Linked DNA regions of Notamacropus eugenii. The protein of the gene in region 2 interacts with the protein of the main gene of each other region in a biochemical or structural test. Links are inferred from orthologs where the notes say so. Each region holds a gene or a part of one and is shown on either strand. Other genes may lie near its edges. The genes, in order: BTK, GTF2I and USF1.

Region 1 (3,744 bases), on a different chromosome or scaffold from region 2:
TAGATAATGCCGTCTCTGACCCCATGTCCAGAAAACACAGACCATGGAAGGTAGCCAATCCACTACTTTAGGACTTGGAAGGAAACAAAAGTGAAACTTCCCAAACCTTTATCTAATCAGATGCATTGTTAGTGCGATAAGTGTTCTTACTCCTTTTAACATCATGGGTTTTGGGGGACACAAGTGTGGAGCAGATGTCTAAAGCTCTGAGATAAAATACAACCTTTGGTGCTTATTGGCTCCATGGCCAGTTTCTTCAACTGTAAAATGAATATAATAACAGCCCTTGTAACTACACTGACTCTTTACAAACTTTAAAGCACCATATAAAGGTCAGTTATTTTTACTTATTTGTCTGCTTTGAGTAAATGTGAGAACTAACCAGGCCAATACTTGGCCAATAAAAAGGTTTTGAAAAAATACATACCCATTTAAGACAACTTTGTTGCTTTGAGAATCTTGACAGGCATGTGAAGGTTTCATAGAAGCTTGGGAAGACTTGTATGAACTGAGGCAGAACCAAGTCAGTCACTCAGTCAATAGATGTTAGAACTCAGATCATTTCAATGACCAATCTTGACTCCCAAGGCCTAATGTTGGCAAAACACTTAATGTATCCTACCTCCTTTGATCCTCACAACAGTCCTGAAAGGTAGGTGCTATTATTATCCCCATGGCAGAGCTAAGGAAACCAAAGTGACTTGCTAAGGGTCACCTGACTGATAAGTGTCTAAGGCAGATTTGGAACCCAGTGTAACAGACTTCTGTCCTCTTTGCAGAGAAGGGGTGGTTATGGATGCAGAACAAGACATATGTTGTCAGATATGGCTGACTTCTGTTTAGAGCTGTTTCGAGATTTGGAGCAACGTTGGAGTTTGGGGGAGGGCTGTAGGTGACCGCAATGTAAATAAAGGCATCGATGAAACTTTTAAACATTTTAAATAATCTTAATAACTTGATAACTTGCAGTGGAGCCTAGGAAGGGCTTCTGCATGAGGCACCCAAGACAGGCAACTAAGGGTATGCTAGTGGGGGGAGGATGGATGGCAACATTGCAGTGGGATGCCTTCACCATCTGGTGCCCAATGCTCTAATTCCTAAGATAGCACGTGCCAACACTTATTTCCTGGGAGAATTGTGGGAGAAATGTGCCTCCTGGACTGACCAAAGGAAGACACTCCTTTTCACACTGAGTAGGAGAAGGGTGGGCTAGAGGCAGCAGTGGGGCTCAGCCCCAGAGCCAGCTGGGAACAATATGCCAGTTTTCTTCTGAGTGGCCCAAAGAGGCATGCTTTCCAGGATTACAGAGTCCTAAATAATTAAAGGCATAGTCTCCTAATAAGGGTCTTAAATGGAAAAAAAAATCAACATTCCTGGAAAATAGAGAAGGTACAAGTTTGCTTCTTGGCCCATGTTCTGACATCTTTATCTGCAGAAGAAAAAAAATCTTTCTTAGAAAATGACTCAACAGAGGAAGTCTTCCTATCTCTAGCTCTGCCGTTTTCTGGAGAAACTATCCCCTTTAAGTGCAGTTGTCTCAGCTCCAAGCCCCTCTGCCGTGGGTGGCCTTCCTCACAGGCTGCTTGCCCTGTCTGTCTACCTCTCCCTGCCTTGCCCCCCATTTCTACACTCCTCTTTCCTCTCTAGTTTTGCTCCCTGTGTTCTGCCTGTTCCTGTAGCCCTGAAGTCAAGGTTGTTTTCCACCTTTGTGGCCTGGCTCTACGGCCTGAGCCTCAGTGACACCAAAGTAGGTGGAGGCTTTTTTCTGAGCCCAACTCATGGTGGCAGTATTGGGGGTTCCAGGCTGATGGAAGGGGAAATAAGATACCATGCCTCTGAGAAGGGAGAAGAAAAAAAAGACATTGGTTTAAGTCAGGAAACAAAAAAAGGGGAACTGAGTGTCTGTGAAAGGGTGGGGTTTGCTCACACTGTCCTTCCTCTCAGGACTGTAAGAATATGTCTCCAGAGCCAGTCTCTGTGCTGATCGAATCCCACCTTCCACATCTGGGCAGCTTAATGCATCTGGGAAACCGCCAGCATTGAGTCAGGACTCAGGTAGGTGGTCAGTGTATGGTGGTGGTCAACAATGACTGAGTATCGACAGTGAGTACCTTCCCCCCTCAGGGCCATATGGGAGGGCTGGGAGAAAACATGGCTGGTGTCGGAGGTGGCCACAGGAGGTGGATGATGGGGGGTGGGGGGGGACTCAAAGCACCAAGTTCTGACAGCGCTAGATAACCAAGAGAGGCCAATGTTGTGGCCTAAGGGACTAAGGAAAGTGGAAGGAAGGAGTAGAGTGGAGCCCCAGAATCAGTCACAGGTAACGGAGAAGCACAAGCACTGTCACAAAACAAAGCTTCCCCTCTTCATAGCCTTTGCAAGTCTGGAGAGTGCACTACAGAGGCCCTTCTGGCCTGGGGAGACCTCTTTGCAAATGTTCAGCTGGGCCTTAGAAGGCAGCAGCATGGTGGGGTGATTTGGAGGCAAAAAGTGGAGGCCTGAATCATAGCTGTATGACCACAGAGGTAGGGAATATCAGAATTCCCCACACACACACACATTTCCTAGAATTGGCTAATGTGATCAGGACCTTTGTTTGATGGCCTCCAGAAAGGGAGAGCCCGCCACTTCCCAAGGCAGCTGCCTTAACTTCCAGCTCTAAGTGTACCATCATGGAATCCCAGATTTCAAGCTGAAAGGTTCCAGGGAAGTTATCTGGTCCAGATATTTGGACAAGTTAGTTCATCCCTCTGTATCTCACTTTCCCTCTGTGTAAAATGAGAGGATTCCATTAGGGGACCTTGATGTTCTTTCTAGCATTCTAGGTCTTGAATTCCTCTGTGCATGAGCTGAAAGGTCCACCCTAGGATGATCAGGAGAGCACAAGATGCTGAGTAAAGGCACTTGGAAGATGTGGGATGCCTACTGAGGGTCTCATGAAGCCAAACATTAGGTTCCATTTCAGTCTCAAATAAGGAATAAGTATACAGAGTCAGAACCAACCTAATGTTCATGTTTGATTTTTTAAAAAATCTAATTCTTTAGGTCAGGGACAGGCAGCCTGTGTCACTGGCATAGTCGTTACTTAGTCCCATTTCTCATCTCTCCTCTCCTCATGCTCTCCTTTTCTTTCTTCCTCTTTTTCTTGCTCTCTCTCTTTCTCCTGTTCCCTCTTCCTTCTCTCCTCCCCTGGGCTCTGATGGGCATTGCTGAGCTAGCACTGCTCATCACTGTTACTGACCCTAATCAGGGCCTTAGTCTAGCAGGGGACAGGGAATTTGAAGTTTGAGGCCTGGGATCAAATGTCGGCTCTGCCCCTCACTACCTGGCTCACTTTGGCCTCACCTGTGAGGGTCTCAAGAAGCACTTGACCTACCTATGTAGGCATCTGTCTCTTTGGTCCATGACCTGTATTTCCTTCACCCACCGCTGCCTGCCATCTTCCTAGCCTGGTGCTGTATATTTGAGAGAGCTGGACTTGATGACTGCCAAGATCCCTTCCCTCTCTAAACCCAGGTGGGGGGGTGGGAGTGGGGGTTGTATTTTTACATACATGTACATGTGTGTGTGGTTGTATGTGTTCTTATGTGTGCATGTATGTGCATATGGCTATGTGTGTATTTCTGTGTGCATGTACATGCATTGTGTGGCTGCATATATACATGCATTGTGTGGCTGTGTATGTACATTCATGCATTGTGACTGTATTTCAGTGTGTACATGCATGCACATGTGGCTATGTGT
Region 2 (3,744 bases):
ATTAGTCCTACCCTACTTCATTTCTCAGGTGAGGAAACGGAGGTAGGAAAGGGTTAAGTGCCTTGCCCAGGGTCAGAGAGCTAATGAGTATCTACCTAGGATCTGAATCAATCCTCCTGAATCCTACCATTCTGCCTAGTAGACAGTACCTGGGCACATACTAGGTAATTAATAAAGAAGTTGAATAATCATTCACCTAACAAGCAGTTCATTAAGACTGTCTAATGTGAGAGATACCCACTCTGCCTCCCAACCCTATAGGAGGTGGCATGGGGGGGGGGGGGGGGGAACAAACACCAAAAAGGCCTGCAACAAGGAAATGGAATGCCTAGTTAAGGGAACTTCAAGTAGGTCAATCTGGTTGAAAAGTGGAATGTGTCAAGGGTAATAAGAATTTCAGTCTAGAGTGGCATCTGGCAAAGCTTTAAATACCCAAATGAGTTTGTGTTTTATCCTAATAGGAATAAGGGACCAACCAATGAAGGCTGCTGAGCAGAACAGGGCAGATCAGACGTGTGCTCAAAAGAAGCTTCTTCTGGCAGCTGTTTGAAGGATGCCTCGGCATAATCATGGATATCCACTATCCCTGAAGTTGGAATTCATTATAATTAAGGATTGCTGGGTAAATTTGTTTGGCATCTCAGAGAAGTAGAATTTGAGGAACAGGATGTACTGTAATCTTGCCCCTCCTCTTAAAGATGAGTAAATGATGACCCTGGAAAGGTGAAATCACTTGGCTAAGACTCCACAGCATGGCACATCAGGAAGAGAGATGCTGAGCCCCAGGCTTTCCCCATTTCATCCTACTGTACTAGCAGTGATTGTTCAGAGAAACAAGGAGGCTTCTAAAATGCCTCCTCTGCACAAGATCTAGGAGAACCTCAGCCAAGCAGGGCACAGAGCAAGAAGGCTGGGAAAGGGTGCGACAGGGCCTCCACTCCACTGTGTCCCAGTCCAGTTGGGGAAACTACCTCCTGAAGGAATTCCTGGCATGTTTTGTCTACCCCTTTATGCTCTCTTTGTAACAGAGGATGAGTCCCAAACTCCTGGGCTTCTGTCATGCTTTTAGCAACGCCTGGTTAGCAGGCAAGAATAAGCAAGGTGGACCGACAGCGTGAAGGAAAGCTAGAGAGAGGAAACCAGGGCGGGACAGGAATTAAAAGACCAGATTGTAGAGACAAAGCCTGGGCAGGAAAAAAGGGGGGGAGGGGGGAGAAGACAAATGGCAAGGGTGAAGATCGAAAAGGCTGAGAAAACACAAGGGAATAAGATGGAAAAGAGGAAAACCTGCGCTCAACTAGAGCATTACTTCTAATTTAGGTGCATATTAAAAAAATTAGTACTTGCCAAAAAAACAAGACCAATCCTCCCGGCTTTTGTGCTTTTTCCTCCAAAGCAGCCGACAGCCACAAACTGTGTTTATTTTTTTACAGTTAATCATGGCGAGTGAAGAACACGATTTCTATAAAAAAGGCCCGATTTCAGTAATCAGATATGAGCAGGAAATTAATAATTGCCCGGAAGTCCTTAATCCGAAGGCCTATCTAAGCCAGTTAACGCGGACGCTGCCTTCCACAATCACCGAGACTCAGGAAAGGAAAGCGCAGCGTTCGGTTTACCTCCCTTCCGAGGATCCACAGCCCGGGGCTAGGGATCCGCCCCCAGGACGCCCCCAGGGGCAAAGGAAACCTTATCTGCGCCCGCCATCGCCCCCCCCCGCCCCAATCCCCCTCGTCCCCCATTCATTCAACTCTCACAAGAACATCAAAGGACTTTTTCGACCCAACCAAACTCGAACCATTCGCGGCCCTCTAATTACCCCCCCATCCTGACGGTGACCTCGGCAGATCCTTCCCCTTTGGATAAAGCCTCGGGTCCCCCCCTCCCCCTCCAACCTTCGATCCCAGGCCTCGACCCCCAAGGAGACTGAGCCCCCCCAACTCCCGGACCAGCGTAGACTGGGCCCAACCCGGGATGAGGGAGGGGGGAAGCTCCGGAAATGTGCAAAGGGGGCGGGGCTTCACGCCCCCGGGCTGACCTCTCCGACCCTCGTCTTCGCTCCCGCTCCCCTTCCCCCTTCCGTTCCCCCCCCCCCCCCCGCAGGGCTCCGACCAGGCCTGAGTCTCCCGAGGGGCCACCGCGACCCCCCCCCACAATTACACGGGTTCCTCGGTCCCAGGCCTCGTCCAACCAGGCCCCGAGCCAAGGGGAGCCGCCCCAGCCAGGAGGGGAGGGCAGGCGGGGAGGGGGGGGGCCGGACCAACTCCAGACAGGGGTTCGAATCCGCATCATTCACGGCCTCCAGGAGCCCAGACTCGGAGGCTGGGGGGGATCCCAAACTAGACTGAGGGGAAGAAAGCACCTCGTGGCCCCTCAGGGACTCTCGGACGCCCGGCTCCGCCTCCGCCCTCGCAGGACCCGCCGAGGACAATGGCCTCAGCAGGCCCCACCTGGCAGGGGGAGGGGGAGCGATAGGGCGGAGGCGGGGCCACAGCGGGGCGGGGCTGACACCTTCACCTAGCCCGGCGGCGGCGGCGGCGGAAGCCCCGCCCCCCGGCCCCGCCGGCCAATCCGAGCGCGCCGCCGCCGAGCCTGCGCTCGAGTCCCAGGACAGGGCCCAGCCGGCGCGCGACCCCAGCTCGGCCCCGGCCCGAGCCCAGAGCGCGCGACCCCTGTCGCCCCAGCCAATCAGGGAGGGGTGAGAAGCAAGGACACCCCCCCCCCCTCCCCCACCCCTACCCCTACCCCCCCAACACACGCACGCACACCTCCCTCTCTCCGCTAACTCCGGCGCGCGCGCGCAGGGCCTTCTCCGCCCCCAACCCCCATGCTCCGCGCGCACTTCCCCACGCGCGCGTCCCCGAGGCTCGCGCGTCCAACCGTCGCCCCTCGCAACCCCCCCACCCCGCCCCCACCCCGGGGCCCGGAGCCCGGGACCCGAGGCGGGGGGAGTCGACGGTCACCCCCACACACAATAACCACCCCTCCGTTAAACTGCCCCCGTGTCTGTTCCGCGGCAGCGGAGGAGGTGACGACCGCGGCCCCGAGCTAGGCCAGGCTGGGCCCGGCAGGGCCGAAGGGGCCTCGGACTCACCCGATGCAGCGGCAGCCGCGGTAGCAGCAGCAGCGACGGCGGGGACGGCGGCGGCGCCGGGCAGCCCCGAGGCGCGGAGAGAGGAGGCGGGGGAGGGCTCGGGGCGCCGATCAGGCCGAGCCGGGGGCGGGGGCGTCCGGTCTCGCTCACGGGCTGGCCGGTCCTGCCTGCGCCTGGGGCTGGGGCTGGGGCCGTCGCTGGCGCCGTCGCCGCCGCGCTCCTGTCACCGCCGCATGGCCGCCCCCGGCAGGGCCCACGCTCCGCGCACAGCTGGCCTGAGCGCCCGAAAGGCGGAGGAGCAGAGCGCGGCGGGCGGGAGGCGGCCGGAGAGGGGGCGCGCGAGGTGGGGGCCCGCGGCGGTCTGTGGCCCCTGTTGTCCGCTCTCCTCCTCCTCCTCCTCCTCCTCCTCCTCAGCTCGCTCTTTTTTTTTTTTTTTTTTTTTTGTTCCTAGAGAGCCCGCTGCGCATGCGCACCCGCCGCACCGCACCGCGGGAGTCGTAGTCTTCCGGGCCTTGCCCACCAGGCCGAGGGCGGCGGGGCCGGACTACGACTCCCAGGGTGCACCGCGAGGGCGAGCCCCGAACTCGGGGACGGGGCGAGAGCGAGCGGCGCTGGCCCGCCCGGACGAGGGCTGTCAATGGAGGAGCAGA
Region 3 (3,744 bases), about 220 Mb from region 2:
CTATTGTGGGGGGAGTAAGATGGAAAAACATGGGGGAGAAGCAGTGAGCAGGAAGTTCAGGCCCTGGTACCTCCTGGCACTTACATTCAATGGCATTTTCAGCACAGCACAGCTGGGATTCAGATTTAGGAGCTTACACTCGGAGTTCCCCTCCTTAACTCACCCCTTCATCTCTCTGCCAGGGGGCACATCCGAAGGCTTGTTCTTTTGCTTAAAGTCTTTGTACCTCCTGCCTCACAATGCTGCGTTGTAAATCCTGGGAGGGAACAGGGAGAAGAAGACAACTTACTATGAAGTTATGGAACTGAAGAGGCCCTCTTTAGCAGGGGCCCAATGTCTACAAACAATCATGTGTTAAAAAGCTATTCATCTGGTATATGTCATTTTCAATACATCTCCCTTTCCTAACTCCAAAAGTTGAGGTAGCAGGTGGAAAAGCTAGTTTATGCACAAAGTCATCCTCCTTCTGGCTTTAACCTAAGTAGTCAGGGGTTACCTGGAGAGATGGACATGCAAGTTTGTAAACAATAGTTTTCCTGGATGTATTATTAATATTATTTTACTTTGCAAAGACAGCAGTTTCATGGGGCTCAATTACAAACAGGCATGGTCATGCTGGCAAAACATCACCATCAATATAAAGAAGTAATGATTTACTCTATTTGGTACTGTTTCTTGAGGCTACTTTATAGAGGTCCACATTGATTTAGACTTTCTATCTTTTTCTCCAAGGTAGGGAAATTGAGTTGCAGCAGCAGAAAACAGTTATACCCCCAAAGACTTTAGGTCAGAGTTTCAAGGATCAAACCATCTGAGAAACAATCTTATGCCTGAAAACCAGCACTTGGAAATTTCCCTCTCCCTTTATTCTCCAAGTCTTCTTCCTTGCCTGATTGGTTTGGCAATTATGATGTTGCTATGGTTACACCATAAAAAATGCTTCATTCAGACGGGAATGAATTTCAGGCACCCTAGGGCTCAGGGTTCTTCTCTGCTCTGAAACAGAAGGGGACTGGGGCAACAATATACCTACAGGCTATGCTAGGACCCTCAAATCCTGGCTCCCAGCTTGGGAAGAGAAATCAAGGACTAGCCAGAGGCAGATGGCACCACCAAATCCAGGCATCTAGCAGCTTTTACTAGGAAGATTATGATTTATAAATTCAGTCCCCTTCCACAAAACAAGGTCCCTAACCCAAAGAAGAGATATAAAAACACACCTCCCTCCCTTCCCCGCACAGGTAGGGGATGGAGGGTGTGGAATACTATAGATTATATCTTGCTTTTTCCCAGTGTGTGGTCTAGTTTTGATGAACTGTTTCCCCTCCCCTTCCTTTTTATACTACGTTTGTAAGGGATGGCTTTCTGAGAGAAACAGAGAGGAAGGATACACTGGGAAATGTAGGCCAGAGGACAGATTCCAAAGCCAAGAGAAAGTGGTTAAAAAAGAGAACTGAGAAGTGAAAGTGAAACCTGAAAAGGAAGTAAGGGGGAAGGGGATGAAGGAGGGAGGAAAGAGAAGAGGGAAGACAGGGAGCTTCCAAGTTCTCTCTCCGTCCTGACTTCGGGGGAAGGAAGAGGACTGGAACGCAGGGACAGCTCACCAAGTTTCTGCCACCCACACATCCCCGGGCAACTGAGGGCACCAGAGGAAGGCCGGGGCCGGTTGGAGACATGAATTACTGTAAGGGAGAGCTCTCTGGCTATCAGAACTGCATGTGGCACGGGCTGGGGGCCCCGGGGAGCTGTGGAATGTACTCTCAGGACAGAACAGGGAGAACTGACTCCTCAACCTGCGCAGACTTCCCAAGACAAGTCCAGGAAAGGGCACGCCGACCACTAGGGTGGTCATAAACACGGGGACAGAACTCAGAGGATAAGCTCCCGGCCTGAAAGCCCGACCGCCCTCCTCTCCTCGCCTCCTCTCCCTCGCTCCCTCCCCCGCCAGACCCACCACTAGTGTGCATGGCGTCCTCATTGCACGTCTACACGCCACTGTGACTCTTCTTGACCAATCCCCTATTCACTCCAGTTCCCCCAACAATTTCGAAAGCGGCCGAGAGGCAGGAGAGGAGGAGAGAGGAGGAGAGGGTCAGAAGAGGGAGACAGAGTGGGGGGGAGGGGGCAAAGAGACACAGGCAGAGAAAAGAAAGCGGGGCTGGGACGGAGGTGCGGAAAGGGGAGAAAGAAGAGCCCGGTTAAGGGCCAGGAGTCCGAGCGGAGGGGGCTGCGCCGGAGGCTGTGCGGCAGCCCCCGGCCAGAGGGCTGGGAGGTCGCCCCGGACACATGCCGCGCCGCCCCCCGCTAGCCTGAGAAGGGGATGGGGGCGGGGGGAAGGAATCTAGAAGGGGGCGGGGGGGAGGGGGAGCGCTAGGAGGAGGGATCTGGGACAGGGGGACCGGGGGCAGGGGGAGGAGGAGTTGGGGCAGGTGCCGGCGCAGCTGGGGAGTGGGCGAGGACCGGGACGGGGCCCCTCCCCCACCTCCCAAAAAAACAAAGGCTCGCTCGCACCCTCTCCCTTCCGCCAACCTCCCCCGACCGAAAGGAGCCGAACGACCCAAAGCAGCTCCCCTGCCTCTTCTTCGTCGCTCAGCCCCCCGCTTCGACCCCTTGCCCCACACTCACCAGTCCAGGGCGCCCCAGTAGCTGCCGACTTCCCTCGACCGCGTTCTCCCCCTTCGGCCCCAGGTCTCTCCATGGGCAGCCGCTCATGCGCACTGACCAGGCGTCTCCATGTCGATGCGGGGCGGAAGTGTCTGGTCCAGCTCCGCCTATTTCCCCGGGAGCGGCCGGGGGCATCGCCCACTTCCGGTTGCCGCCATCTTGGTGAGGGGTGCCCTTCTTCCTAGGAGAGGCGCGGAAGCGAAGTCCAGCTGACCAGATCCAGCTGGATTGGGAGCGGGCTCGCTGCCATCTGGCATGGAGGGGAGGCGACGAGCTCCTAGTGTCATCTTGATTCCGGACAGCTGACAGCCGTAGCCGTCCACAATGGGTCTAACACTTGATAGAGACCATCTTAAGTCTGGGAGGGATGCTCGACTTGGCCGCCATCTTTGACGAGGGCTGCTCTGGGCGCCATCTTGGGTCTGGGCACTCTTGGGAGAAGAATTTCCAGGAACATGACCCGGGGTTCGCCCAACACCTGTCAGGCGCCGGCTTTTGAAGCTCGGCCGAGAAGCAATGACCTCAGCTTCTGGGGGGATTTGGGTGTCCGGCCCCGAGTCTCCTGAAAGCCTATTCCCTGGTCCCCCATGACCACACCCATTCATGCCAGTAGTCCCTCTGCGTCAGAAAGGTTTTCGTGGATCGCCACCCTGCCCTGGTGATTTCTTATTTTTAAATTACATAGCCAGAACTCCCACTGCTATAGGGAGGAGCTCCGGGTGGAGGAACTCCTTCCAGTCCAAGCCAGTCCCTGCCCTTCCACTTAGGATCTTGGGCACCCCGCAGGCGAAGGAGGCCTTGAAGCCCAGTATTCTCCTTGCTAGGTTGGCCCTCTCTTCTGCTGCCTGGCATTTCCTGGAGCCCTTCCCGCACCAGCTACCAAAGAGGGTGCTGCCAGGTGGCACAGCGGATAAGGTGATGGTCCAGACGTTGGGAGGAGTCACCTCCTTGAGGTTCAGATCTGGTCTGGGACGCTTACTAGCTGTGTGACCCTGGGTGAGTCACTGAACCCTGTTTGCCTCAGTTTCCTCCTCTTCAAAATGAGCTAGAAATGGCGAACTTCTCTAGCACCTTTGCCAA

What was found.
Region 1: the proteins of GTF2I (region 2) and BTK form a complex in vitro, tested with the Homo sapiens proteins (4 studies listed by BioGRID and IntAct, with this or other methods). The link is inferred for Notamacropus eugenii from reciprocal best matches to the Homo sapiens genes GTF2I and BTK.
Region 3: the proteins of GTF2I (region 2) and USF1 form a complex in vitro, tested with the Homo sapiens proteins (2 studies listed by BioGRID). The link is inferred for Notamacropus eugenii from reciprocal best matches to the Homo sapiens genes GTF2I and USF1.

What each region holds. Positions count from the first base shown.
Region 1 is NC_092879.1:92,840,067-92,843,810, reverse strand, and holds the start of BTK (tyrosine-protein kinase BTK), read left to right. Parts: upstream 1-1,596; 5' UTR 1,597-1,747; intron 1,748-1,944; 5' UTR 1,945-2,055; intron 2,056-3,744. UniProt on the Homo sapiens protein: Non-receptor tyrosine kinase indispensable for B lymphocyte development, differentiation and signaling. Binding of antigen to the B-cell antigen receptor (BCR) triggers signaling that ultimately leads to B-cell activation.
Region 2 is NC_092873.1:48,620,981-48,624,724, forward strand, and holds the start of GTF2I (general transcription factor II-I), read right to left. Parts: upstream 2,428-3,744; 5' UTR 2,363-2,427; intron 1,463-2,362; 5' UTR 1,442-1,462; coding exon 1,348-1,441; intron 1-1,347. UniProt on the Homo sapiens protein: Interacts with the basal transcription machinery by coordinating the formation of a multiprotein complex at the C-FOS promoter, and linking specific signal responsive activator complexes.
Region 3 is NC_092873.1:267,463,772-267,467,515, forward strand, and holds the start of USF1 (upstream stimulatory factor 1), read right to left. Parts: upstream 2,755-3,744; 5' UTR 2,626-2,754; intron 1,685-2,625; exon of another isoform or gene 1,505-1,684; intron 257-1,504; 5' UTR 172-256; coding exon 164-171; intron 1-163.